Linked DNA regions of Anolis sagrei. The protein of the gene in region 2 interacts with the protein of the main gene of each other region in a pairwise test. Links are inferred from orthologs where the notes say so. Each region holds a gene or a part of one and is shown on either strand. Other genes may lie near its edges.

What was found.
Region 1: the proteins of GADD45G (region 2) and ARPC5L interact in binary tests that used the Homo sapiens proteins (3 or more experiments, as listed by UniProt). The link is inferred for Anolis sagrei from reciprocal best matches to the Homo sapiens genes GADD45G and ARPC5L.
Region 3: the proteins of GADD45G (region 2) and LRIF1 interact in binary tests that used the Homo sapiens proteins (3 or more experiments, as listed by UniProt). The link is inferred for Anolis sagrei from reciprocal best matches to the Homo sapiens genes GADD45G and LRIF1.
Region 4: the proteins of GADD45G (region 2) and AFAP1L1 interact in binary tests that used the Homo sapiens proteins (3 or more experiments, as listed by UniProt). The two-hybrid records come from large-scale screens. The link is inferred for Anolis sagrei from reciprocal best matches to the Homo sapiens genes GADD45G and AFAP1L1.

What each region holds. Positions count from the first base shown.
Region 1 is NC_090031.1:6,399,370-6,407,116, forward strand, and holds the start of ARPC5L (actin-related protein 2/3 complex subunit 5-like protein), read right to left. Parts: upstream 3,020-7,747; 5' UTR 2,905-3,019; coding exon 2,732-2,904; intron 1-2,731. Other genes in the region: PPP6C (serine/threonine-protein phosphatase 6 catalytic subunit), read right to left, coding at 7,512-7,747. UniProt on the Homo sapiens protein: May function as component of the Arp2/3 complex which is involved in regulation of actin polymerization and together with an activating nucleation-promoting factor (NPF) mediates the formation of branched actin networks.
Region 2 is NC_090022.1:234,504,289-234,512,123, reverse strand, and holds the start of GADD45G (growth arrest and DNA damage-inducible protein GADD45 gamma), read right to left. Parts: upstream 3,003-7,835; 5' UTR 2,815-3,002; coding exon 2,762-2,814; intron 1,880-2,761; coding exon 1,748-1,879; intron 1,625-1,747; coding exon 1,408-1,624; intron 630-1,407; coding exon 519-629; 3' UTR 1-518. UniProt on the Homo sapiens protein: Involved in the regulation of growth and apoptosis. Mediates activation of stress-responsive MTK1/MEKK4 MAPKKK.
Region 3 is NC_090024.1:205,699,851-205,707,603, reverse strand, and holds the start of LRIF1 (ligand-dependent nuclear receptor-interacting factor 1), read right to left. Parts: upstream 3,018-7,753; 5' UTR 2,848-3,017; coding exon 2,786-2,847; intron 676-2,785; coding exon 1-675. UniProt on the Homo sapiens protein: Together with SMCHD1, involved in chromosome X inactivation in females by promoting the compaction of heterochromatin.
Region 4 is NC_090022.1:102,222,610-102,229,557, reverse strand, and holds the start of AFAP1L1 (actin filament-associated protein 1-like 1), read right to left. Parts: upstream 3,011-6,948; 5' UTR 2,883-3,010; coding exon 2,825-2,882; intron 1-2,824. UniProt on the Homo sapiens protein: May be involved in podosome and invadosome formation.

The DNA.
Region 1 (7,747 bases), on a different chromosome or scaffold from region 2:
GCTTAACAGTGATTCAGCCCATTCATTTCCCTTGTGAATGTAATACTCGATGGCTGCTCTCCAAGGTCAAAACCTCTTCAAAAAAGGTTGAGCATGCCTCATCCAAAACTGTCCAAATGATTGGCTAAGAGACACCTTTGCTTTTTGATGGTTCAATGCACAAAAACTTTGCCCCACACTCAAAATAGTTAAAATAAAATAAATAAATAAATAAATGTAGAAAAGAAAAGCTCTAGCTGTTAGCCTCAGCTCCTGCCAACCTAGCAGTTCAAAAATGTGAGTAGATCAATAGGTGCCGCTTCTGCGGGTAAGGGGTAGACTGCGTTGGATAATACAGAACGTTAGGTGAGCAAAGGTTAGATAAACGAGACTCTATTGTAATAATAATAATTTTATTTCTTACCCACCTCTCCTCGTGGCTTGAGCCAGGTTGCAAGAATATGAATGTATATTATTATTTTAAACTGCTTATTTTATGACATTTTATACTTATTATCAATGTATATGGATTGTTGTTTACATTATTTTAATATATTGTAAGCCACTTTGGGTCACGTGAGGGAGAAAGGTGGGATATAAAGATTTATTATTATTACAAAATAATTAAATAATAATAATAATAATAATTATTATTATTATTATTATATCGTGTGTGAAGCAAATTGAGAAACTACAAATCTCTGATGGTGTGAATTATTATTATTATTATTATTACCCCACTTTATTTCCCCCAAAGGGAACTCAGCAAATAAAAGCTCCAGCATAGCCATTTAAAATACACAAATATACCAACATGAAAACAAGATTAAATAGAAATCGTATTTTAAAACATTCCCAGTTAAGAATCATTAAAATAAATACATAACGCAGCAAAAACAACAACAGTACAAATACACACAGGAAAATGTACTTCCGCAAAAGTTAAACAACAAAAGGCGCCTCTACAAAATACATACTAAAACACACAAAACAGAGGACATGAAGGGAAGTCATACTGCCTCTCTATTCAGCTTTGGTTAAACCTCTTTCCCTGGAATCACACTGTGTACAATTCTAGGCACCACAATTAAAGAGAGATATTGACAAGCTGGAAGGTGTCCAGAGGAAGGCAACTAAAAGGATCTGGAGACCATGAATAATCCCTATGAGGAGTGTCCCAAAGAGCTGGGTCTGTTTATCCTGCAGAAGAGAAGGCTGAGAGGAGACATGAGAACCATGGATAAACATGTGAAAGCGTGTCCTGAGGAAGAGGGAGCAGGCTTGTGGACGCAATGGGTTCAAATGACAGGAGAGGATATTCCACCTGAACATTAGGAAGAACTTCCTGAGTGTAAGAGCTGTTCAACAGTGGAACTCTCTGCCTCCGAGTCTGGTAGAAGCTCCTTCCTTGGGAACTTTGAAACAGGGGCTGGATGGCCATCTGTCAGGGGTGTTTTGATTGTGCTTTTCCTGCCTGGCTGGGGGTTGGACTAGATGGCCGAGGGGTCCCTTCCAACTTTAGGCTTCTATGAGTCTATTCCATTGTTCTCATTATTATTTTTATGCTCAGTGGTCACCTTATATATATTTATATATTATGATTTCAGGTAGTTATTATATATAGATAGATGTGTGTGTGTGTGTGTGTGTATATATAGTGACCAGAAGACGACGATGACGACTACTACTTCTTTCTTCTTCTTCTTCTTCTGTCCACTGGTCACCTTATATCTATTTATATATTATTATTTCAGGTTATTATATAGATAGATATGTGTGTATGTGTGTGTATAGAGACAGAGTGACCAGAAGACATTATTATTATTATTATGTCCACTGGTCAGCTCATAACTATTTATATATTATTATTTCAGGTAGTTATTATATAGATAGATGTGTGTGTGTGTGTGTATGTGTGTGTGTGCGTATATAGAGAGTGACCAGAAGACTTATTATTATGTCCACTGGTCACCTTATATCTATTTATATATTATTTCAGGTTGTTATTATATACATAGATGTATATATACACACATAGTGACCAGAGGACTTATTATTATTATGTCCACTGGTCACCTTATATCTATTTGTATATTATTATTTCTGGTAGTTCTTATATACAGATAGATATGTGTGTGTGTGTGTGTGTGTGTATAGTGACCAGAGGACTCATCATCATTATTATTATGATGTCCACTGGTCTCCTTATATCTATTTATATATTATTATTTCAGGTAGTTCTTATATACAGATAGATGTGTGTGTGTATATATGTATATAGTGACTTATTATTATGTCCAGTGGTCACCTTATATCTATTTATATATTATTACTTCAGGTTGTTATTATATATACATAGCTGTATATATACAAACATAGTGACAAGAGGACTTATTATTATTATTATTATTATGTCCACTGGTCACTTATATCTATTTATTATTTCAGGTTCTTATTAATTATATAGTGAGCAGAGGGCTCTAATATTATTACGATAATTGCTATTATAATAATTATACCAATACTATTATATTATATTATATCATATTCTAATTATTAATATTACTAATATTACGGCTATTATTAAGTTCCCTGGTCACCATATTGATATATAATATACATGGTGGCTGAAGGGGAAAAAGAAGAGGGCTGAGGCCAGGAATTGTGGGAGTTGAAGTCCAAAACACCCTGAGGTACCAACTTGGCCCATCCCTGCCCGATTCTACCCGGCTCCCAAAGGGAAGAAGGATATTGCCTGAGGGCGGCCTCCACCTCGGCGCGCAGCCCTCCTCCGCCTTCGTCCTCGGCCGCCCCCAAGGCCCCGCTCCCGGCCTCGGCCCCGTCGGCCTCCTCCACGAAGCGGTTCTCGTCGAACTGGTCGATGTCGAGGCGCCGGAAGCGAGAGGAGAGCGAGTTCCGCGCCATGGCCAGGGGCCTGCTCGGGAAGGCCTTTCCCTCTGAGGGAAGACGAGGAGGAGAAAGCGGCACCTCCTTCCCTCTCGGCTGCCACCGACCTTCTGTGGTGATTCTCCCCGGAAACGGAAACCCCGCCCGCCGGGGAGGGGGCGAGAGGGAGAGCCAATCGGGAAAGGATGGGCGCGGCCAAAGCCTGGGGAGAAGTGGGTGGGGCTTCCCAGCCACGTGACCTCAGCACGCCTTGCCTAATCCAACCACTTGCTTCTCATTTCTAAGGCAGGTTGGTGAATATTTACTACAGTGAACTATTACTATCATTACTCATAATAACTTTAATATTAGCAATATTAATATGATATAATACAATAGTAATAATAATAATTTTATAATAATAATAATTTATATATATATGAACAGAGAACTTAATAATCATAATAATATGATATAATAGGAATATATATATATGGTGACCAGAGAACTTAATAATAATCATAATATTAGTAATATAAATAATATAATAAAAGGTAAAGTTAGTCCCCTGACATTAAGTCCAGTCATGTTTAACTCTGGGGGTTGATGCTCATCTCCATTTCTAAGCCGAAGAGCCAGCGTTATCCATAGACACCTCCAAGGTCATGTGGCCGGCATGACTGCACGGAGCACCGTTATAATATAATATAATATAATATAATAGTAATATATATATGGTGACCAGAGAACTTAATAATCATATTAGTAATATTAATAATATGATATAATAGTAATAATAATATATATATATATACACACATACGAACAGAGCTTAATAATCATATTAATAATATGATATAATAGTTATATATATATATATATGGTGACCAGAGAACTTAATAATGATAATATTACTAATATTAATAATATAATAGTAATATATATATATATATATGGTGACCAGAGAACTTAATAATAATCACAATATTAGTAATATTAATATGATATAATTGTAATATTATATATATATGGTGACCAGAGAACTTAATAATCATAATATTAGTAATATTAATATGACATTATATATTAGTAATAATTTTATATATATATATATATATATATATATATATATATATGGTGACCAGAGAACTTAATAATCATAATAATATTAATAATATGATATAATATAATAGTAATATTATATATATGGTGACCAGAGAACTTAATAATAATCACAATATTAGTAATATTAATAATATAATATAATAGTAATATAATATATATATGGTGACCAGAGAACTTAATAATGATATTAGTAATATTAATATAATAGTAATAATTATATATATATGAACAGAGAACTTAATAATCATAATATTAATATGATATAATAGGAATATATATATATATATATGGTGACCAGAGAACTTAATAATCACAATATTAGTAATATTAATAATATGATATAATAGTAATATATATTATATTAGTATATTTATAGTAAAGTAGTAATTATGTTGTTGTTGTTGTTTATTCGTTCAGTCGCCTCTGACTCTTCGTGACCTCATGGACCAGCCCACGCCAGAGCTCCCTGTCGGCCGTCACCACCCCCAGCTCCTTCAAGGTCAGTCCAGTCACTTCAAGGATGCCATCCATCCATCTTGCCCTTGGTCGGCCCCTCTTCCTTTCACCTTCCACCTTCCCCAGCATAACTGTCTTCTCTAGGCTTTCCTGTCTCCTCATGATGTGGCCAAAGTACTTCAACTTTGTCTCTAGTCTCCTTCCCTCCAATGAGCAGTCGGGCTTTATTTCCTGGAGGATGGACTAGTTGGATCTTCTCGCAGTCCAAGGCACTCTCAGCACTTTCCTCCAGCACCACAGTTCAAAAGCATCTCTCTTCCTTCGCTCAGCCTTCCCTAAGGTCCAGCTCTCACATCCGTAGGTGACTACAGGGAAGACCATGGCTTTGACTAGGCGGATCTTTGTTGCCAGTCTGATGTCTCTACTCTTTACTATTTTATCGAGATTGGACATTGCTCTCCTCCCAAGAAGTAAGCGTCTTCTGATTTCCTGGCCACAGTCTGCATCTGCAGTAATCTTTGCACCTAGAAATACAAAGTCTGTCGCAGCCTCCACATTTTCTCCCTCTATTTCCCAGTTGTCAATCATTCTTGTTGCCATAATCTTGGTTTTTTTGATGTTTAGCTGCAACCCGGCTTTTGCGCTTTCTTCTTTCACCTTGATTAGAAGGCTCCTCAGCTCCTCCTCGCTTTCGGCCATCAGAGTGGTGTCATCTGCATATCTGAGGTTGTTAATGTTTCTTCCAGCAATTTTCACCCCAGCCTTGCATTCATCCAGCCCCGCACATCGCAGGATGTGTTCTGCATACAAGTTAAAAAGGTTGGGTGAGAGGATGCAGCCTTGCCGAACGCCTTTCCCAATCTTGAACCAGTCTGTTGTTCCGTGGTCAGTTCTGAATGTTGCTACTTGGTCCTTGTACAGATTCATCAGGAGAGAGGGAAGGGGGCTTGGGATGCCCATCCCACCAAGAACTTGCCACAATTTATTATGATCCACACAGTCAAAGGCTTTAGAATAGTCAATGAAGCAGAAGTAGATGTTTTTCTGAAACTCCCTGCCTTTCTCCATTATCCAGCGGATATTGGCAATCTGGTCTCTCGTTCCTCTGCCTTTTCTAAACCCAGCTTGAACATCTGGCAACTCTCGCTCCATGTATTGCTGGAGTCTTCCTTGCAGGATCTTGAGCATTACCTTACTGGCATGATGAGAAATAAGGGCCACTGTACGGAAGTTTGAGCAGTCTTTCGCATTTCCCTTTTTTGGTATGGGGATATAAGTTGATTTTTTCCAGTCTGATGGCCATTCTTGTGTTTTCCATATTTGCTGGCATATGGTAGTAATTATAGTAATAATAATAATAATAATAATAATAATAATAATAATAATAGAGCCCTCTGCTCACTATATAATTAATAAGAACGTGAAATAATACATAGATATAAGGTGACCAGTGGACATAATAATAATAATAATAATAATAATAAGTCCTCTGGTCACTATGTGTGCATATATACATCTATGTATATAGAATAACAACCTGAAATAATAATATATAAATAGATATAAGGTGACCAGTGGACATATCTATATTACTCTTATTATAGATAAGAGTAATATAGTAACTCTAGGCTCTTATTATTGATAAGAGTCTAGAGTTGCTGACTTTATCAACTCCTGAGGAAGGGGATTGCTTTCCCCGAAACAGGGTACAAAAATACCCGGGCACCCCTGTTGAATGCTATTTGGACTTTTCCTTTGAAGACTTATTTTGAGAAGCAGTGCTTTCACTGGACTTGATTTGGATTTTTTCCATGAAGATTGTTTTGAGAGTGGTGCTCCATCTTCATTATTGTCTTCAGTCTACATAGAGCCTCATGACTAAATGCTTACTGTGTTTGTATGATTTTTCTTATTGAATGTATCCCTGAAGCCTATATACAGTGGAATCCTTATCCAGACCTAGAACTTACGTTTGAGAGCGGCTCCTCCATTCAACCCTCAGAGGCACCTATTGGCCTAGGACTCCTATGTGCAATCCTTTGCCCGCCTCCACATCGAGCTTTGCGCCCCCCCCCCCCCCCCCCCGGTATTCTGACCCTCCATTGAAGCTTTATAGCCATCTATCTGCCCAGGACTTTTACGTGTAATCCTTTGCCACCCTCCAGTGGACACATCAAGCATTTGCCCTGGTCTGTGTGCTGAGTCAGGTTCACCACTTGTAATGTGCAGCGTTTCCCTTTCCCAGTATTAAGTAATATATATCTTTGTTAATAATAACAACAATAATACATCTTTGTTAATAATAACAATAATAATAATGGCTCAATTTTGAAATGAAAAGCCATGACATTCCCATCAACAACATATGTTTTTATTTCCAACGTTTTAACCCAGAGGCACGGGTTTCTGGATACGACTTTATTAAAAATACAAGGTATCTGAGAGAAAAATCAGAGCAATTATTTTAATGTACAAATCCAAATACCTGTAGCGTGTTTTGCTTTTTCTTGGAACCCTAAAACATAAAAAAAAACAAGTCTTCGAGGGACAGGAAAAACGAAATAAGCGACATCCTTTTTTCAAACCCACTTATTTCTATCTGCTCAAAGCAAAATATAAAGCACGACCGTTCCCTCGTATATATCTAGATGGACTTAGAAAGTCCCATTGCCGCACATAAATACCACTTTGCTGCTGAAATTTCTTTAAAACTCTATCCTCAAGATAAATATTCGCGTGGAATAAGGAGATCGGACTAGTTCTGGCTCGGTTTGTATTTTATTGGAAAAGGGAGGGAAATCAAAACAGAACAAAATGGAGAGAAATCGAGAAGCATTATAAAACAGCGAAGTGCTCTGAGCACTCTTGGAAAGGGAAATAGCTTTTTGTTATTCTGCGCAGAGGGAGGTCGAAAAGAGACGCGTCACTGACGACAATGTACAACACATTTAGATATAATTTAAAAATAAAAAAGAACAAGGCAAGAGGCAGCATTTCAGCAGCAAAGTGCTCAATAAAAAGTATGTCACACAGAAAGAGAAGAAGGGAAATATGGGAGGAGGGTCTCAGAGGAAATACGGCGTGGTGGTCCTCGGGGGGATGACGCGCTCGGAGTCGGGGACGGCGCGGAAGAGCTTGGGCTCTCGCGTGTTGACGTCCTTGAAGACCATGATGGAGGCGATGTTGCCGCAGCGGTAGCAGTAGTTGGGGGCCGACCACACCGTCACCAGCTTCTCATCGAACATGAACTTGTAGCCTTCGTGGACCAGCTGGTGGGCCCGGCAGATGAGCTTTAGGTTGT
Region 2 (7,835 bases):
CAGTCTGCATCACAGTCTTTGTAGAAATACAAGGATACCAAAGTCTTGTAAAGCTTCCAGTCTCCTGGGGACTATGAATCTCCCCCATCAACCTTTCCATGTCCATATCTTCCCATAACATCTGTGTCCAGTTTTCCAACTTTCTCCATTGCTTTCGTAACATAAGTGTTCCACCTGACCTAGACACCTGCAACTGTCTTTTCTTTCTTCCATTCCTTTAAGTCAGAAAAAATTGCAGTTCTTCTTCAGCTCCACTGACACACCAGCTTCTCCAGGGCTGCAGCACTGTGAGGGGGACGCCAGGCACCCGCCACTCCCCTTCCTCCATCGCTTCTCCTTTCTCCACAAGAGCCCACTGCGTGCTGTTCTGAACGCCTTAATCCAAGCTGTTGACCAGGCTAATCTCCAGAAATCAGCCACTCGCTGGGTTGCCGAGATGTGCAACTCCCTGGATGAGTAATGCAACAAAAGGTTTCAACCTCTCCTCATGCATTAGGATTGCTTCTGCATCATCACCATCACTCAGGCAGGGTGATATTGGGCACCCAGTCGTTGACATTTCGACTCTCCTCACAAAACAAGTTCAGCTTGTCCAAGGAAGGGTCCTTCCAGGCATCCTCACTGGGGTTCTATAACAAACAGGAGAGACAAAGAATTCATGAGTAAAGGCTTCCTATTCATCCAAAAGCACATCGTACTACAGAAGTTCTAAAAAATCTCTAAATTACTTTTTTGTGTCAGGAGCGACTTGAGAAACTGCAAGTTGCTTCTGGTGTGAGAGAATTGGCTGTCTGCAAGGACATTGCCCAGGGAATGCCCAGATGTTTTCCCATCCTGTGGGAGGCTTATCTCATGTCACTGCATGAGAAGCAGGAGCTGACAGAGGGAGCTCATCTGCACTCGCCCCAGATTCGTCCTGCCAGCACAAGGGTTTAACCCACTGCACCACTGGGGGCTTCTAGGAACAATGGGATTATACAGCTATGGCATCCCAAAAATAAGGAATACTATTTCTCTATGACAAGTATTGTTTGTTTGTTGATAAAGCCCACCTGCAGCTACCAACATACTTCTGGGACCCAATAGCATGGGAATGTGCCACTGACAAAAGCACTTAAACTATGTCATCGTGGTTAATTGGTGGCCTCAATTGGCTCCAGCCAAGTCTAGCCTGAGATTGTTTCCACATGTTATTAGTCACACGGTATCAAGTACACTGGAAGCAGGGAGGGAAGGGGGAATTTCACAGGAAATCCCAGATTCTGCCAAGTTCTGCATGAAAGCCAACTACTACGAAACAGCATGACCTTACTGGGACTTTGTTTTGCAACCGTCTGTGCTCAGTGAGCTCAACTTTCCGGAAAACCCTCCCTTCAGTGGAAAGAGGCGAGACAACGAGACACTTACCGTGACGAGGATGCAATGCAGGTCCCGGGGTTCCCCAGACTCCTCGCTGGTGGCACCCACAATCACTGCCAACTTCTGGATGTCGTTGACTCTCACAATGTCAATGTCATTCTCACAACAGAATGCCTGGATGAGGGTGAAGTGGATCTGGAGGGCAATGTCTCCCTCGTCCTCCTCGTCGGCAGCAAGCACACAGAAGGCCACAGTATCAGGGTCACTGGAATGAACAAGAAGAAAGAAAAGCCTGGTTATTAGAGGCACACGGCAACCGAGATGGGCTGTTGTGCAAGTGGGAGAGACTAGGGAAAGGAGAACAAGGCGCCCATGCCTGGATACTCACACATTCATCAGTTTAGCAGATTCGTAGACGCCGGCGGTGAGGCAACCCCGGCGGTGAGAAGAGATCAGGAGCTCCTGAAGAGCTTTGCCAGCACTTTGCATCCTGCTGCTGGTGGAGGCACTGCTAGCTGTGCTAAAAAGGGAGAGAAAAGGGAGGGGAGATCAATTCCTGCTCCATTCCCACACTTCAATAGATCTCTTTCCAAACCCAGCCCTGGCTAAAGACTCTTGCTATCCCTAAACATAAATACAAGTCCAAGGGTTCCATAGTAGAGAGTTAAAGTGGTGCCAAACTGCATTAAACCTACAGTGTTGATGCACTCCTGTTTAGTGTGTTTTGATAGATCTCAATAGATCACCCAACCTGGCTAAAGACTTGTTATTCCTAAACATAACTACAAATCCCACGATTCCATAGTATGGCATTAAAGTGGTGCCAAATTACATTAAACCTACACTGTAGATGCATTCCTGTGTTTAGTGTAAACACAGGAGTGCAGCTACACTGTAGGTATAATGCAGTTTGGTACCACTTTAACTACAGTGCAGATGCAGTGTAGCAAACTCCGTTAAACCTACAGTGTAGACGCACTCCTGTGTTAGTGTAACATGCTAAACACAGGAGTGCATCTACACTGTAGTTTTAATGCAGTTTGGCACCACTTTAACTCCATACTATGGAATCCTGAGACTAGAAGTTCCTCAGTTCCTCTGCTGGTGATTCACCAAAGAGTGCAGAGTGATTCACCCAGCTTAAACTCGTGAGATTGCATAGCATTGAGCCATGGCAGTTCAAGAGGCATTTGATGCCAAAGGAGCCCAGTTCCTCCCAGTTTCGACCCATTAGCCCAGCCAATTCCCAACTCTCCCGGCATGAAATCTCTCCCCTGTCCATCAGCAAGGAGTCCCACCTCTCCCTGTTCACTTCTGGTGCCAAACAGCCCCACTGATCGCCTTCAATAGCGAGCTCTCCCTCCCTTATCTAGACAAGCCAAAGTGGAAGAGAGATCCTTACCTGTCGCTAGTCTCCGGCATCGCTTCCTGGCTGTGGATTTCCTCCAGAGTCATAATGGTCCAAAAGAGAGGAGGAAAAATGAAAGGAATCAAAAAAACCCACGCGGCTCTTATCCACAAATCTTCCGAGGAAAAAGGAAAAAAGCAAGTTGCTCAAGCCAAGGAACCCAAAGCCCTTCGATGCGCTCTCTCTCTGAGTGTCTCTCGCAGTCCTTCTCCTTTAAGTCCTCAGCGACGTCTGAGCGGAAGAGAGAGGCGCCCGCTGTATTTATAGACTGCCCAGCCGAGGCGCCGGCAGCTGCCGGGAAAAGGGCGGCGCTGATTGGCCAACCCTTGGGAGTATTGTGATGCTAATCAGGCGGGGAGCAGGGGGGGGGAGACGGCTCGTGCCAGGAGGCCACGTGGTAAGCAGGCAGGCAGGCAGGCAGGCAGGCGGGGGGAGAGAGACAAGGAGGAGAAAAGGAATCAATGGGAGCAGATGACAATGCTACCAATCTGCCACCGCTGCTTTTGTTGTCATGTTACTAGGCAGGAACTGCAAGCCGGAGCACTTGATCTTTAATATTAAGGGGAGGGAAGGAGGGGAGGGGGTAGGCATCAAAGGGGGAAATGTCTCCTTGTGGATATGTGCAACTTGTGGCATGGCTTATTATTTTATTATTATTTAAAATATGCAATAATACGCTTTCGTTAGGGAAAGGTTTTTGAAAAATTTTTAAAAAAGGAAAAACTTTTTCCCCCCCTAAGGCTTGCTTTTTTCCTTTTGCAAAGATGCTCTGACAGTGGGATATAATGTCTTGGAGTGGAGGGTGCATCTACACCAAGCATGTGCCAACTTTGTCCCTCCTGGTGTTTGGGACTCCAACTCCCACCATTCCTAACAGCCTCAGGCCCCTTCCGTTTTCCCCCTCAGGGGTGCTTTGATTGTGTATTTCTGCACAACAGAATGGGACTGGATAGCCCTTTGGGTCTGTTCAAACTCTTGGATTGTGAGTGTGTCTATGCTGTAGTGCATCTATAGCACATGGATTAAACCCTTGTGCTGGCTGACCTGTTGACCTGAAGGTTGGAGGTTCGAATCCGCGAGACGGGGTGAGCTCCCGTCTGTCAGCTCCAGCTTCCAATGCGGGGACCTGAGAGAAGCCTCCCACAGGATGGTAACACATCCAGGCATCCCGTGGGCAACATCACTGCAGACGGCCAATTTTCAGAAGCAACTTGCAGTTTCTCAAGTCACTTCTGACATGATAAATAAATAAATAAATAAATAAATGCTGTACAATGAACATTGTTTGACCCCAACTTAGCTGCCTTATTATGAAATCCTGGGAGTTGTAGTTTGGTACCAGCACCCTTGGGCAGAGGTGGCAAATATCTTTGCAAAACTTCACCTTGCAGGAAGCCATATCATTGAGCCATGGCAGCTCAAGTGGTGGCAAGCCGCATTAATTCTGCAGTGGAGAATGGGATGCACCCTTAATGTTTGACTGGGGAGTTGACACATCTCACTAATTTTCCACTATAGTTGTACTCTGAACCATAGCAGTTCAAACTGGTGTCAAGCTGTAGTGTAGATGCACCCTAGGATTCGACAATTGGCCCTGAAAACTGCTTCTGGCATGATCCTGCTCCCCACTTTGCAGCTCAGGGTTCACTCTTCCCCCCACCATGTGTGAGGAAGGAGAGATGGGCTTTTTTTTCTTTTCTTTTTTGCAACCTCAAGTGTGCCTTGCTGCCCAAAAGGAAAAGAATAGAAGTGTGTGCTGATGATGGGGGGAGTGCATGAAAAGTGAGGTTCCTGCAAAGTTCACCGAAATGGATTGGGTGGGGGTGGGGTGAGGGGGCTGCCTGGAGCAGATTGTGGCCGGCACACGCTCTTCGTTTGCATGTCAATGGCAGGCCCACAATGGCCTGGGTCTGGCGTGTGGCCGTTTGGAAGGCGGACAAAGAGAGGCTTTCTCTTTGGAGCAGCACTCTCCACCTGCCACAGGGCTGAGGGTTGGCTTGGGCCCCAAAAAAGAGGGGAGGGAGGGGGAAGGCAAAAAAGTAGGGGAGGCAACTAAAGGGGGGGGGGCAATTGCACTGCTCTCCTTTTCTCTCCCCCCCCCCCTTTTTTCCATTGTTCATCACCCAATCTGTTCCCTAGCTGATGAATGTCTCCACTTTGGCTGCACAATTCCCCAAGTTGCCACTGAGATTTCAAAGGTCCTCTAAGAGCATAGCATCACCTCCTGATTCCAAAGGCTCCTTTCTCCTGCCTTCTTCCACATATACATATACCCCATGGGTGCATCTACATTGTGGAATGAACACAGCTTGAAATGCCACACTACATGCTATAGAATTGAGGAGTGCTGGTGATTCGTCAAACGACATACATCCAGGATACCATAGCTTTGAGCCATAGCAGTTAAAGGGGGTGTCAAAGTGCATTCATTCATCAGTGTAGAGCAGGCATGAGCAAACTTTGGCCCTCCAAGTGTTTTGGACTTCAACAGTTGGTATTGTGGGAGTTGAAGTCCAAAACATTTGGAGGGCCAAAGTTTGCCCATTTGGAGGGCTAAAGATACACCACAAGCTCCAAAGGCTTAATTCCCTTGCTTTCTTCCACACACACAAACCCATCATCCCCATGATCTTGATCTCTATTTTGCAATACACAGGAGAGGCCAACCACCATCCTGGCCAGGGGGGCATCTATACTAGAAAGGATCTACTTGGAAAACCACAATTTCCATGATTCCATATCTTTGAACCATGGTAGTTAAAGAGCAGGGTCAAACTGCATTCATTCTACAGTTCAGGTGTACGTTTTGAGCCAGGACTCCGTATGATAGTCCAAGGGACACCTAATTTTTAAAAGCGGGGGGGGGGGGTCACACAATGCAATCCCATGAATGACCCCTTGTCACCATCTAATCATGGTGCTTGCTTGCAGTGGAAGCATAAGGGTTGCCATTATGTGGTGCAAAAGGGTCCTTATAAAAATCTGATGGTGTTTTCCCCCTGGGTGGCAACAGGGCTGCAATCCTTGGCAAAGTGAAATTAATGAACCAGACCTTTGGGTTTTGTTTTCATTCCCTGTACATCATGTTCTTCAAACATCCCTGTTCTCCCTCTAATACTCTCATTTTTTCCTTCTGTTTTGGACACCTAATTCTGGATAAGTAGCGCCATCTGCCGGAGACGGATGTACATCTTTCCTGTTAGAAGATACATTATTGTGCAGACAAGAGGTGCATCTACACCAGTGCTTCTCCACCTGTGGGTCCCCAGATGTTTTGGCTTTCAATTCCCAGAAATCCTAACAGCTAGTAAACTGGCTGGGATTTCTGGGAGTTGCAGACCAAAACACCTGGGGACCCACAAGTTGAGAACCACTGATCTACACTGTAGAATTAATACAGTTTGGCATCATTTTAATTGCATTGGCTCAATACTGTGCAATACTGGGATATGTAGTTTTACAATGCCTTTAACCTTCCCTGCCAAAAAGTGCTGGTGCTTTCCATAGTATTGCGCCATGGCAGTCAAAGCGGTGTCAAACTGCATTAATGTGACAGTGAAGAAGCCAGCCTCATTTTTCCTACAGAGAGAGAAGGCAACTGTGGGCCTTTAATATACACTGCCATTTGGTTCCAGAATCCCCAGGGATGCCAAAATCTGCAGATGCTCAAGTGCATAACAAAATGGTATCACTTATATGAAATGACAAATTCAAGATTACCTTTTTGGGAATTTCAAAATATTTCCAAGCAATGGATGGTGGAATTTGTGAATGTTGAATCCCTGGATATAGAAGGCTAACAATATATTTACTGGCAGAAGATGACAACATTCAAAATAACAACAATAATAGTAATAATACCTTCTTACCCGCCTTTTCTCATCTATGCCATCAGTTCAAAACATGTAACACATAAGTCTGTTAAAACATCATAGAATCATAGAGTTGGAAGAGACCTCGTGGGCCATCTAGTCCAACCCCCTGCCAAGAAGCAGGAAAATGGCATCCAAAGCACCCCTGACAGAAGGAGCCTCCGCCACACTCCGGGGCAGAGAGTTCCACTGCTGAACAGCTCTCAGTCAGGAAGTTTTTCCTAATATTCAGATGGATTTTCCTTTCCTGTAGTTTGAAGCCATTGTTTTACATCCTAGTCTCCAGGGAGGCAGAAAAAAAGCTTAAAGAACATATGCAACATGCTAAAACAACCAGTGCCCAATTTAAAGTTCACAATTAAAGTGGTGCCAAACTGGAGTCATTCTACAGTGCAGTTTGACCCTGCTCTTTAACTACCATGGCTCAAAGCTATGGAATCCTGGAAGTTTAAGTTTTACAAGGTCTTTAGCCTTTTCTGACTCACCAAACTACATATCCCAGGATTGCATACCATTGAACCAGTTATAAAAGCCAACCTCAATGCGGAGCATGCGTAAAACTTTGTGAATTTTCCATCCCATAATGTCCACAGACCATTGCCAGCATCAGACAACAGCACCAGAATGAGCTTGTGGGCTGGGAGCAAACATTCATTTACGTAGACCCTTAAATGACGTTATTTGTCATTATTGAGGTTTGTATCAAGTGACTTAAGGTTTCCTTTCCAAAGAGAGCTGAATTTATCCCCTTTTCTATGGCATTTGTGATGCATCTGACACAGTGGGCTGTAGTTATATTGCCACAAGTTTAAATGTGACTAATAACACAACAATAACAAATGTCTTTGCCTTGAAGGAGCCGCATGACTCTTCCTTGATTTGGTTGCCGCAGATGTAACTTGGGCTGATTGCCTGGAAATGAGAGTGTTCGTGTTTCTTAAGTGGGATCAGATGAAGAGGTGGGATGATAGCCGTTCAGGAAGTTCTCCAAAGCTCAGTACAGGAAACTATTGATGGAGAGCCAATTTGCCTGGATTCAGATCGCTGGGCTGGCACATCTCGGGAAGTGAGCTATCCATTTGATTCTCTTCCGACCTTTCCTTGCTCTGCCACTTTCAAATGACAAATGACAGGAATGAAACTAGGATCTCATACACACTATCCATTACTCACCAAAAGAGAATATATTTTTAGGA
Region 3 (7,753 bases), on a different chromosome or scaffold from region 2:
GGTGACACATAAATAACTGTTTGTGCTTTCCTAATGTCACAAGCCTCAGAAGCATTTGAGACTGATGTAACCAAAGTATTCTGTTGAATCGAAGGTAGCAGTAAAGAAGCTGGAACAGATTTAACTTCTTCATGAGCTGGTATTTGAAGAGGATGTTTAGAAGGAGGTACTTGAGACTTTGGAGCGAGAGGAAATCTGTTTGCATTCACAAGTACGTAGCTGGTATTGCTTGTTTCTGAGCCAATCATGGCAGGTTCATTTGGGAAAGGTGATACATCAGTAGAACTGCAATTACTCTGAAGGCTATAACTGGTAGGAGTGGTTGGATTATCTTTTACAATGCTAGAAATTATCGGTGTAGTTGGATTCTCCTTTATAACAGAGGCATCAATCATTTCCACTTGACCAAACAGCTTTGGTAGAATCAATTTTCCAGATGCAGCCTTCTTACACTCAGTGTCTTTAACAAATGAAGATGTAGCAGTATTTGCAAACAAATCCTGCAAATTACTATGACCAGGTCTTGAAACATTTCTGTTCATATTATCAGTTACAACCGAAGACTGATGCAAGGGAACATCGTTTCTTAGAGGTCTAGAAACTGGATGACACTTCCGGAGGTTCTTTCCATCCAATCCAGCTGCTGAAACTACATGATATACATGACCTATAATACTTAAAAGAAAAAAAAGTAACATAAGTAACAACTTCTCATGTATCGTGATTATTCTGGCCTACATGCCGAGGCACAGTTCATATGGAAAACCTATATTAAATAATGGAGCACCCCAATAAATTTCATAATAAAATCATTGTGCATTTAATAGATTAAAGCAATATCTTTCATTACAGATAACGAAAAGCCAGGGATGGTTCTTAAAGAATGGATGGTGCAACTACAGGGTGAGGCAGCATAACTTTCTTTTTTAAAATGCGGGCCATTCAGTCGGTTGAAGACGTAGGGGAGTGCTAGTTGTCTCGTTTGGGAGGCGGGAGTGTAAAGTTTTGTCCTGACGCAGTTCAGTCGCCATCATGCGTTGGAACAGTGAGGAGTGTGCTTTTGCCGTTGAGGCCTACTTTTTGAGCGGATTTGGAGTGGCTGGCCCACTCTCCAGATTTGGCCCCTTGGGATTTTTTTCTATGGGGTTTTTTTGAAATCTCGTGTTTATGTGAACTGTCCAAAGACCCTACAAGATTTGAAGACCAAGATCCAGGAAGAAATTGCCAACATAACGCTGCTATGCTGGCAAGAGTCATGACAAACACCAGAAATTGGTTTACTCAGTGTATGGAGGACGTCACCTACCTAATTTGATCTTCAAAACTATGTAAAACAAAACTTTAGGTATGCGCCTACATTATAATTTTTTTTAAAAAAAAAACTCTGGGTTGTTGTAGGTTTTTTCGGGCTATATGGCCATGGTCTAGAGGCATTCTCTCCTTCTCTCCTAGAATGCCTCTAGACCATGGCCATATAGCCCGAAAAAACCTACAACAACCCAGTGATTCCGGCCATGAAAGCCTTTGACAATACATTAAAAAACTGATTCATACAATGGGTTTTATTAAGTTTTGAAAAAAGGAAGTTATGCTGCCTCACCCTTGATTATCGTAATGTACAACTCATGTTCTGGATAAGAGGCTACCATTACATCAAATATGGAAAAACAGAATGGTTTCCAATTGGCAAGAGGTTGAGCAAGACTGCCTTTTATCACCCTGTTTAACTTGTATTCTGAACACATCATATATATCTGAAAGTAACAGGCTCTGAGGAAGGAGGCATAAAAACTCGAGTAAAGAACATAACAATAAAACTTTATTTATATCCCACTGCCATATCCCAAAGGGACTTGGGGCGGCTCACAAAGCACTCAGGTGCAAACACACAACTTCTTGGGAGGAGAGCAATGTCCAATCTCGATAAAATAGTAAAGAGTAGAGACATCACACTGGCAACAAAGATCCGCCTAGTCAAAGCCATGGTATTCCCTGTAGTAACCTACGGATGTGAGAGCTGGACCTTATGGAAGGCTGAGCGAAGGAAGATAGATGCTTTTGAACTGGGGTGTTGGAGGAAAGTTCTGAGAGTGCCTTGGACTGCGAAAAGATCCAACCAGTCCATCCTCCAGGAAATAAAGCCCGACTGCTCATTGGAGGGAAGGATATTAGAAGCAAAGCTGAAGTACTTTGGCCACATCATGAGGAGACAGGAAAGCCTAGAGAAGACAATTATGCTGGGGAAAGTGGAAGGCAAAAGGAAGAGGGGCTGACCAAGGGCAAGATGGATGGATGGCATCCTTGAAGTGACTGGACTGACCTTGAAGGAGCTGGGGGTGGTGACGGCCGACAAGGAGTTCTGGCGTGGGCTGGTCCATGAGGTCACGAAGAGTCGGAGACGACTGAACAACAACAAACAATAACAAACAACATAACACCATACAATCCCACTGGTTAAAAATCAATAAACACAACCAGTCTCTAATTCAGCCAAGCGGCTGTGGGGGAAAAGGAAGGGGACTGAGGCTGTTAGGAATTGTGGGAGTTGGAGTCCAAAACACCTGGAGCTTGCCCATGCCTGCCTTAAGAGACTCAGATGTGCCCCCCAATCATGCAACCCATGCAATGACTTCCTCTGCAATCCCGCGGCGGCCACTGGGGGCGCGCGAGAGAGGCTGGGAGCGAGGTGGGCGCTAGGGGGCGCTGTGGGGCGCCCGCGGCTCGGAAGCCAGGCTCTTTTCCCTGGGATCCTCCTTGAGAGGGCGAAGCTTGCTTTGCGACTCACCGCGGCGAGGCGGCGCCAGGCCTGGTGTCCCCCTCCGCGGCCAGAGGCATCCTCAGCGCCATCCCTCCTGGGTCGGTCACGCGCTAGGCCCTTCACTGCGGCCCCAACATGGCGGCAACCACAGCAAGAGCAGCGCGCCCTCAACCCCAATGGCTTAACTCTTTACCCGGAGCTTTTGACGTACTTCCGCGCCCCTGGAGACTTCCGGCAAGGCTACTTTGTGACGCGGATCCCTGAGCGCCAATCACAAACAGCTTCTTGCGCACTCACTTCCGGATCCAGCGCTGTTCCCTCCTTGCTTTTAGTCAAGGGGGCGCCATTTTCCTGTCTTCCCGCCCGACCTCACTGGGAATAGTTTCCAGGAAGTTGCAAGAAGTACTTCCAGTTTGACGTTTGGAATTCCTGTTTGGGGGTTTACTTCCTTTTTGGGGAGAAAATAATTTTCCCCTCCAAATTAGAACTGTCTTTTTTGCGTTATCAAGAATTTGAAATGCAAAGATAAAGAATGAGGGACAATGCCTGGTTCAACAGCAGTACGTGTGAAAAAGATCTTGGAGTCCTCATGGACAACAAGTTAAACATGAGCCAACAATGTGATGTGGCAGCAAAAAAAGCCAATGGGATTTTGGCCTGCATCAATAGGAGCCTAGTGTCTAGATCCAGGGAAGTAATGCTACCCCTCTATTCCGCTCTGGTTAGACCACACCTGGAATATTGTGTCCAATTCTGGGCACCACAATTCAAGAGAGATATTGACAAGCTGGAATGTGTCCACAGGAGAGCGACTAAAATGATATAAGGTCTGGAGAACAAGCCCTATGAGGAGCGGCTTAAAGAGCTGGGCATGTTTAGCCCAAAGAAGAGAAAACTGAGAGGAGATAAGATACCCATGTATAAATATGTGAGAGGAAGCCACAGGGAGGAGGGAGCAAGCTTGTTTTCTGCTTCCCTGGAGCTTCAAACTACAAGAAGATTCCATCTGAACATGAGGAAGAACTTCCTGACTGAGAGCCATTCAGCCGTGGAAATTTGCCCCGGAGTGTGGTGAAGGCTCCTTCTTTGGAAGCTTTTAAACAGAGGCTGGATGGCCATCTGTCAGGGGTGCTTTGAATGCAATTTTCCTGCTTCCTGGCAGGGGGTTGGACTGGATGGCCCAAGGTATCTTCCAACTTTTGATTCTATGATTCTATATATGCAAACTATGTAAGGACCAATTGTGAACCTTTCAATAAAACATATAGGGCATATATCTATCTAATCTATCTATAGAAATAAAAATGTTATGTTCGTTTGTGGGATTAACAGAACTCAAAAACCACTGGATCAATTGACACCAAATTTGAACACAATACAACTCACAATCCAATGTATGTCCTTCACTCAAAAATTTTGATTTGGTCATTTGGGAGTTGTAGTTGCTGGGATTTATAGTTCACCTACAATCAAAGAGCATTCTGAACACCAAAAATGGCATTGAACCAAACGTGGCATACAGGACTCCCATGACCCACAGAAAACACTAGAAGGTTTTGGTAGGCATTGACCTTGAGTTTGTGAGTTGTAGAGCACTGTGGACTCAAGCAATGATGGACCTAACTTGGCACAAATATTCCATATGCCCAAATATGAACACAGATGGAGTTTGGGGGAAATACACTTTGACATTTGGGATTTGTAGTTACTGAGATTTATAGTTCACCTACAATCAAAGAGCTTTCTGAATCCACAAACCACAGAATTGGAGCAAACTTCCCACACAGAACCCCCATGACAAACAGAAAATACTTAAGGCCATCCAGTTCAACTCTCTTCACCAGGGCAAGAAAATGTAATCGGAACCCTCCTCACAAAGAGCCATCCAACCATAGATATAGATAGATAGATAGATAGATAGATAGATAGATAGATAGATAGATGATTCACACACACACACAGAGTTATAGTATCATAGATTTGAAACGGACCCCTAAAGAAGGACAATGATATGCTGCATGTTCCTGAGTAGGCAAACCAGACAATCTCCACATCAAAACTGACAAAGAAACAGCAAGAAATACTGTTTACCCACAAGCATAAAGAAATTACATATATTAGAAACAAACACTTTCTCATTACTTTATTTTCCAAATCACTAGATTTGGCCACCCACTGAGCTGCTGAACTTGCTGACCGAAAGGTTGGTGGTTTGACTCTAGAAAGTGGGGTGAGCTCCCGCTGTTAGCTCCATCTTCTACCAACCTAGCAGTTTGAAAACATGCAAATGTGAGTAGATCAGTAGGTACTGCCTCTGTGGGAAGGTAACCGCACTCTATGCAGTTATCTCTCTTCTCTCTTAGACAATCCCTCGTTGTCCAAGTAGGATTGTCTTCCAACGTCAGTGTACTGGTGGGTCTGTAGGTGACTGTGGAACCCTATTCTTGATCTGCATCTTCTCCCGCAGTGAGGGCATTGGTTTCCAGGTGGAAGGTGGTCTCAGTCGGGGATGGCTTGACGCACCTTCCTCTTGGCACGTTTCTCTCTTTTGTCCTCCATTCGTGCCACTTCAAATTCTGCAGCACTGCTGGTCATAGCTGATCTCCAGCTGGAGCACTCAAGGGGCAGGGCTTTCCAGTTCTGTGTCTATGCCAGTTTTTAAGGTTGGCTTTGAGTCCATCTTTAAGCCATGCAGTTATGCCAGCCACGTGACCTTGCAGGCGTCTACAGACAACGCCAGCTCTTCAGCTTAGAAATGGAGATAAGCATCACCTACCAGAGTTGGACACTAGACTTAGTGTCAGGGGAAAACCTTTACTTTTACTAAGGTATATAAACATACTGGTATGAAGTAGCGTAAAACATGAAGAGTTGTCTGAATTTACTTTGTTCTAGAGCTGTGTTTGTTCTAGAACTGATTACACTATTAAACATATTTTTTGTCATTTCCTAACTGGTTCTACCATAAAACCATGCTATGGAAAAAGTGTATTACACTGCAAAAATAAATAATTAAATAAATAGAAATAAAGTAAATAATTAAATAAATATTATCATAGAGCTCACTGGTTTGATTTTGATTTGATGTTTTGTTCTCATATTTTGTTATAATGTTGGTTTTCTGTTTTTGTTTTATATTGATGTTTAGATATTTTAATATGTTATATTTTAACCATGTTCACTTGGACTTGTCCCCGTGTAAGCCATCCTGAGTCCCTTTGGGGAGATGGAGGCGGGGTATAAAAATAAAGTTATTATTATCATTATTATGAGTCTGAGTCTATATAATACTGGGATTTTCAGTAGATACCATTTTGACTTCTGGAGGCAGCACAATGTAGTAAATCTTGCTTACATGTCATAATAAAAGAGAATAATCAGGAAGTGGCACTTTGGTTTTGTTTACTTCACTTTTGTGCTACATTCATATTTTGTGCCTTCATAGTGTTAAGTGTCTTCTTTATATGAATTGGTAAAATGCCAGTTAAATCCATTTCAATTCCAGACTGTAGAACAAAAAATAGAACAGTCATAGGTACGTGTGTACACGTGAACTGTTATGCAAGGCATCCCATACACCTGTTTTGAATGTTGACCGTCTAGCTAAATATTCCCGCCTCTAGCTGGCATCAACTCTATATTGTTTCAGACAGGATTCTATTCAACCTTAATGAAAGACCTCTGCTTTCCCCTGGTCGCCTTCCATCTAAGGATTGCTATGGTCTGATCCGTGTTCCCCTCCATAATCAGGTAAAATTGAACAATATGCTATATATACACACACATTTACAGAAAATTAATATGTCCTGTCATATTTCCCTGTGCACGGTATTGCAAAAATCATCTATTTCATGTTATGGAAGTTTAAATTGATGGCCTGGCTGATTTTAATCTACATTAATCCCCTATGTATTCTAGAATAATTCAGGAATCGTGAGCAAGGAGGAGCACATGGACTGGGACTCACCCTCTGAGGTTTTCACCTCCTCTTGTCTTGCAAAGCATAGGGGATGGGTCTGTAAAGAACTGCCTTGATTTCTAGTGGGAAAAATCATTTCATTGCTTTTCTCAGCTTTTGTATCCTGAATGTGTCATGGCTGACAAGGATGTGGCTTTTACCTGCACAAAATCTTCAGTCATTTCAAACTCAGCTTTAACATCTGAAAAAAGATGCAGCTCTGTGACCCTCCATTGTTGTTACTTTTAATAGCCATGCCTGATGAAAGAATTATGTGAGTTCGAAAACCTGCATAATATATATCAACACATACAACCTGTACACTGCTTTCTTTCTCTGTTTTATGCAATTATGGCTTTAAAGCTCTGCCCTGATCTTCTATTGGCCACATTTCCTTTATTTCCATTCTTGACAATTCTCTTGTTATCTCCAAGTAAACTCAACTGAAATGTTTTCTAAGCAGCTTGTTTTTTCACATTTTTATCTTCATACACTAGGTTTCTTAAGCTGCACACCACACTTAAAACAGTCTTCGCTTACAATACCTGCTTTTTCATGTTCAAATATTTCCAAAATATAAATTGCCTGGGAAACAAAATCAAGTGGTATTAACTGTAGTTTTTAGGATTTTTTTCTCTTAGCCCGCCACCCCACCCTTTGTACAGTTGTATCACATATTGTTTGAACTATAAATCCCTATGGGTTTCATAACAGGCATAGAAATGTCCTTGAGTCATATTTCTCTTTGGATATTGAACAAAGCAGTGTGAAAGTGTGGTATTAAAAACAGCTTGCATTTCTTCTTGAAACGAAACTTCATAATAAAATGATTTTTACTTTTGATTTAGCACAAATCAAAATAAAATGCTGTAAAACAGTGAGTCCATGCCAAACTGCCAGAACATAAATATACAATATTCGATATAAATTTTATTTATTAAAATATTTATATCTTACTCTGTTTTGGGGCAGTGTACAAATACATCAATTTAAAACCGTAAGAAGTAATTTAACAATATAAACAACCAAAAGCCCCA
Region 4 (6,948 bases), about 130 Mb from region 2:
GAAATGAAGCCTATCCGGTCTAAGAATACCACAGAGTTGCACTGGAGCATCTAGAAAATGCCTAGAGGACATATTTTATCAGATGTGGATTAATGAAACTGTGGTACAGGGGTCATCTTTTTCTTTCCACTGATTTTTTTTATTTAAATGCATAGAAACACAACTAGGAAGCATCAGCAACTTCAGTGCATCTTGACAAATGCAACACAACAAAAACTTCCTAACACAAAAGATGAAGAAGAACAATATCAAAATTATTTATTTGGTCAGCTTTCCCAAATAAATGCTTTCTGAAAATGGTATATGTATGTGTGGAAAGACTCAACTTTTCCATGCTTATACAACTTTACTTTCCACTGTTTAGTTTTAAGTAACTCTAGAGCAGGGGCGACTCAACCCATTACGCAAAGTAAGCATTTGCAGTATAGTTGATTTTGCCCAGGGGCACTCTTGAGGCACTCTTGGGGGAAAAGTGACCTTGACATATGCGAGTTGTAGTTACTGGGATGTATAGTTCACCTACAATCAAAGAGCATTCTGAACTCCACCAATGATGGAATTGAACCAAACATGGCACACAGAACTCCCACGACGAACAGAAAATATATATCAGTGATTGGTGGGGGGGGGGGGGGGCAAAATACTATTTCCTTACTGTTGAAAATTACCTAGGGCTGCCTCTGCTCTAGAGTACCCCTCAGAAATGCCTTTCACATAATCTGTTTGTCATAGCAACTTGGGAAATAGACATGGACTGCTACTACTGTCCTTATTCCTGGGCAGACCTCTGCTGTCTGTAACATGATCTACAAGAAAGTAAACCTGTATGGCCACAACAGCTGTGCAGTAACCAAAGACTTTCCACTGTCTTACTATACGTGTGGTGGAGGATGAGAAGCAGCACTAAAGTACATGAATTGTACTCCAGTACTTCTCTCAACTGTGAACAGGATGAGAGTGAGCTTTGTCATATTGTTATTTTTAGGTGAGTCCAGCCCTTCGACTTCCACCCACTGGGGAATGCTGCTAGAGAATCAGGTGCAGTATCAAGGCCACTGTTTATGACAGCACTTCCTGCCAGTTCTTCCTGTATTAATTACTTTTTTATCATAAAAACAAATCACAAATAAATGTGCAAATAAGGTTGTAAGCATTTTCTCAGTATGGAGAGAAAGGTTGTGTGTTTTCAAGTCATTCCCAACATAGTGAACCTAAGGTGAACCTATCACAGATTTTTCTGGGGCTGAGAGTGTATGATTTACCTAAGGGATCACCAACGGGTTTCCATGGCTGAGCAGGAAATTTAACCCCATTCTCTAAAGAGCCACAGTTCAATGTACCGTTGTTAAAAGTCTGGGTCTCAATCAAGCAACTATCCCAAATATCCCATTTTCATCATCTTCTTGCTTACTCTTTCTATTACAGTGGGAGCCCAACAGTCAAAGCTCTGAAGGACAAAAGATTGGCATCTTTCATCAGCAAGGCTGACAATTTCATCTGGCATCTTCCCTTATGTTTCTCTTACCATTTTGTATTTAGTAGCAGCCCACACCATAAAAGTGAGTTTTCAAAGTTGCAAGGTATTTTTGTGAGTTTCCATGTTGTAATGAAAAGGCATTTTGGCCTGACTTTAATGCACAATTAAGACCCACTAATTTTACAAAACATCTGCTCCCAGTAGAGTTGAAAAGGGATGGAACTGGTTTGTTGATATGGATGAATATAAATGCTGGCATTTTTGGGTCCTCCTCGGGGTCATGGCTATGGGGACTGTCATAACAGGTGGCTGCACTCCAAAATTTCCTACTATATCAGTGGAGCAAATTTACAGTGAACCATCACATATGAAAAAAACTAGCTGAACTTTAACACAATGCAATGAACTCTGTTTAGTTCATCACTTCTTTGAAAACCCCAACCACAAAGAAAGATAATAATATACAACCTGATTCAGTGGAATCTTAGTGCCAGAACATTGGTATGCTTTCTAGTAGCTGCACATTCCCTCTGTCCCATATTTACAATCATTTAGAAGATAAAGGACAAAATATTTCTGGACCCAAAGTTGATCACTGTTCATTCAGATAATTTTCTTTGGGTTGTGTGCTTCCATCACTGCACACAATATAAGAGGATTCCATTCATAGAGGACACTGTGAGGATCACAAAGGTCTAGAAACAACTGCATAGTACAAATGTAAATATGAATTAGTGGCACTTGGTGGCTCAGACTTTAGTGGCTTCATGAATTGTCTCCTGATGTTAGCTCTGAACTTTAAAAGGGCTTTTCAGTGGAAGTTGACTTTGATCATGGACTAGCAATCACAGATAACGAATTGGATTATGATTTTAATTATGAGATGTACCGGTCTGTATTGGTGGCCCAATACTGTGTATGTATATGTATGTATTTTATATTTTATTTTATATTTTTAAATCGGAATATTGTTGTTTTAAATATATTGTAAACCGCAATGAGTCGCCGCATAGGCTGAGATATTAGCGGTATACAAGTGTACCAAATAAATAAATAAATAAATAAACATCTTGGGCACTTCCTTTAAAGTTCAGACTGAAACCCAGAGAGGTTTAATCACTCCACTCACCTCAAAGACACATAGTATGGATATATGGAATTTCCCATGGACCTAGCATTATAGAAACAACTACTGCATAGGTGCACGCGAGTTCTTGCAGCAACGTCAAAACACAATTACAAGGGAGAGAAAGTTCTCACAAAGCCAAAGTTGTATTGTGTAAGTAGCAGCCCACACAAGAAAATGCAAGCAAACATGGACAACTCTGGTCTCTACTTAACACTCACCTCCTGCCACAGATCCCATGTTAAAACCTTGACACTGACCTCCAAACCCAGAAAGCATAGAGCAAATATGGAGGTGAAAGTAGAGTCAATTCCTGCTATTTGAGATGGGCTTCTGAAGAGTGGCCATGGCATTAATTCTCTGGCTTTTGCAGTGGCTCAGTTTCCCCAGGAAAGAATTGCAGCAATGTGCGGGAGAGCAATGTGCTTTGGTCAGGAACAGCTGGGGGGTGATCCCATCCCTGCCCCTCCCTCTTTCACCACACACACCCTTAAATCTGGCTGCATTTTAGGAGAGGGTGGAATTCCCAAAGTGGATGTTAGGCAGCAAATCAAGAATGATTCAGGATTCCTCCCACCCAATCTAATGTCACCCTTTCTGTACGGCAGGGCAGGCCCACATGCTCCTGACCAGGACCCAAGAAAGCACAAACAAGTAATTAAAGGGTCCTCTATGTTACATCACTTGGCTCTTGGGTCAAACAAATGAACTAACAAACCCACAGCATTGCAACAAAAGAGAAAAATCTGTTTGCAATTTTAAAAAATAAACATTGTATAATTCAAGATATTAAGGATCCAACAGAAAGTTAAGAGAATACAATACAGGACCAAATTGCTGCTTGAAATAAACTGTTTTACAACATTTGATCATATCACTGATTCCACAGGTAGAAATGAGAAACTATATTGCAAAAAACATACAGTACAGTGTTCAATTGTGGGATTAATCATCACTTTGAGTGAGGAAATGGCTAAGAAGGAGAAATTATCCTTCTCTTTCAGCATCAGTGCAGCAGGCATACAACATGAACTAAGAGGAAAACATCAGAACATCTCATCATGGATCTTCCATGCCTCATCTTTTTGGCCATGCAGCATCTCTCACGTAATGGGTGTGTACTGGTTCTACAGCAACATGTAACTGAGCCTTAGATTTAGAAGGCATACTGTATATCCTCGAGAGGCTGGGAACACTGCTGGCTCAAGATTTCTCCATTTTGCACTATTCATGGTTAAGATGTTAAAACGTCTCACATTCTTTCCTACTCTCATGGAAAACAGTAGGATGAGGCTTCAATCCACAAAAGCAGCCACTGTACCATTGTCCTGGTATTACAGACAATTATTCTAGACGAACTATAATAATAATAATAATAATAATAATAATAATACCTTTATTTTTATGTCCCACCACCATCTCCCTGAAGGGACTTGAGGAGGCTTACAAGCGGGATCAAGCACAATAACAAAAAAGTTAGACAAGTAAAAACACATTAAAAACACAATAAACATTTTTATTTTTATACGTAATTTTTTTATATGTAAAAACAAAATGAAACTTTTTCTCAGTTTGGAACAATTTTTTGTGTTGTGATTTGAAAAAAATAAAAATGGAAAATAACAAAAAAAACCTCACAATAAACATATGACAATCTAATTACACAATTAAAACAGTAAATTTTAAAAACTGCATTGGAATAAATCAAAGCCAATCTCAATAACAAGAACCAGGACTATGGTGGACATATCAAAATTAGAGAGGGTTGGGCATGGGCCTGTGCAAAACCAGATTATAGGGAGAGGGCTGGGGTAAAGTGCTGAGATTTTATATGACAGTCAATTAGAGCTGGGCAATCATAGGCAGGGGCCTAACTATTTTCAAATATGCATTTGAACATCCATGTTTTGAGGTCCCCACAGAAGGTAGACGGAGTGGGTACTAGCCTAATATCCCTAGGGAAGGAGCCGTGGGGGCATCACCAAGAAGGCCCTTTCTCGTCCCCACAAACTGTGCTTGTGATGGTGGTGGGAGCGAGACAAGTGCCTCTGCAGCAGATCTTAAGGTCCATGTCAGTTCATATGGGAAAATGCGATCGCGAAGATAGGCAGGACCTGAACCATTTAGGGTTTTGTAGGTGATGACCTACACTTTGAATTGCGACCGGAAACTTATCGGTAACCAGGGGAACTGTTTAAATAGGGGCTCCCTATATCTGCTCCCTTTATCTGCTTCCTATAATTAGCTCCAGTTAGCAACCTGGCTGTCGACCTTTCCACCAACTGCAGTTTCTGAGCCATCTTCAAAAGCAGCCCCATGTAGAAGGTGTTGCAGTAATCCAGTCGGGATGTAACTAAGGAATGGACCACCGTGGCCAAGTCAGGTTTCTCAAGGTCTTTTCTATGGCTTTTTCAGCCATAGCAGAAAGCAGAAATAGAGATAGTAGCAGAAGCCCACAAACCCCAGAATGACAGAGAGGGATAAAGTGGGGCTTGAAACTAGATTGGAGGGTTTGTGGCACCCAAAATGATCTTTCAAAATAGATCACCAAGATATAGTAGATACTGACTATAGAACTGCACAGAAGGACTTGGGGAATTGCTAGAGAAATGTAACCTTAGGTTTTTAAAAACTTCTTTCATGGCTTTCCACTTTTATTGGGGTTTTGTACCCTTAATCCCTGTGGAAGTGGAGGCCTATTTATTAAGGCAGCTGTCATCATTCATTCTTTCCAGAAATAGCATAGGCTACCTATCATCTATCCTATACACGTTTACTTCAGAGCAATCTATGCTGAACACATGGAAAGGATTTGAACACACATATTGTGCTCATATGAATCTTCAAATGTAATGATGTTTCAGTACTAATACATGGTGAAAGCAATCCTTCCCCCCTACAAGTAGCTGCAAGGAGGCAACATTTATCACAACCTGTTTGCCAATGCTGATCAGCACAATACAGTCACAAGAAATGATACTTGGACTGTATCAACACTGCAGAATTTATATGGATACTTTCCTTCCTTTGCATTCCCTTTTAAAAAATTAGACTGTCAGCCCTTGGCAAAAATGTCTCTTTCATTGTTCCAGTTCCTTGGACAACAATGGTAGTATATCTATAAAAGAAAGAAACAAGACCTATAATGACATAGCAATTAAACTGCCATAGCTTCATCCTAAAGAATTTTGGAGCTGGTAATGATGTACATAGGTTTTTGAGCTGGAGAACGCTACTCCACTCCCCTGAACTAGACCATTGGAGTTCTCCAGCAGAATATTCTAAATATATCACCAAAACTATAAATCTCAAGATTCCATGTATGGAGGCATAGCAGTAAAAATGTGTACTGTGGATACACCCCTGCTAGCAAAAACAGGTGTCTAATACGTAAATCAACATCAGTGTTTAATTATCTGCAAGGGTCCATAGATAGTCTTTGGACACTATGCCCTTTTCTCTTTGGGAAACATCCATCCTATCAATTCTGTCATACTTTGAGGGCACTCCAAACCTTTCCAGTGAAATGTGCAGTCACAAGTAAAACTCATAAGAGAAACTAGCTAAACTAGAATGGTTGACTCAGTATCCTGCTTCTCTAAGGCCAATTAGATGCCCACAAGCAAAACACTGAGGTATCTCTCTCTCTCATCTATAATTCCTCAGAGAACTCACATCAGATGCTTGGAGCTGAAACTTTTGCTTTTTGCTTGCACAGATCACTGAACCTGGGAGATGGATAAGGTTCAAAGTTCTCTCAAAGAATGGCTAGACACTATCACCAGCCATACTTATATAGCCCTATGCCTTTGTAAACATTATGATTGACATGTGATTGGCTTGATCAGCAAATGGCAGGAATTACAGTTGGCCCTCTATATGCACAAATTTTGAATCCATTGATTCAACCATCCACAAATACTGTATTCATCCCCACCACTGCCCCCTCCCCAAAACTTCATTTTGCCATTTTATTCAAGGGACACCATTACACTATACATTGTATATCATGGGACTTGAGCATCCATGGATTTTGATAAGCCACAACAGACACCAAGGCCACTATACTTAAGGGCAGATAAAATTCATCAATGAACAAGAGAACTTATACCCAGGCACATAAAAAAGACAATAGCAGTCTCTACAACTATTTAAAGTCTATAGAAATCCCCAACCCATTCCCAACAAGATTGTATCATCTAGCCAAGCAAGGAATTCTAGAGAACTCAAATGCTTTCCTTTACATTCTGGTTGGTTTTAGTAAAGACTCAACATGACACAGTGTTTTGAGTGCATAGGAATCTGTGAGACCAGGATTTGAACTTTGACACAAGCATGGTTGACC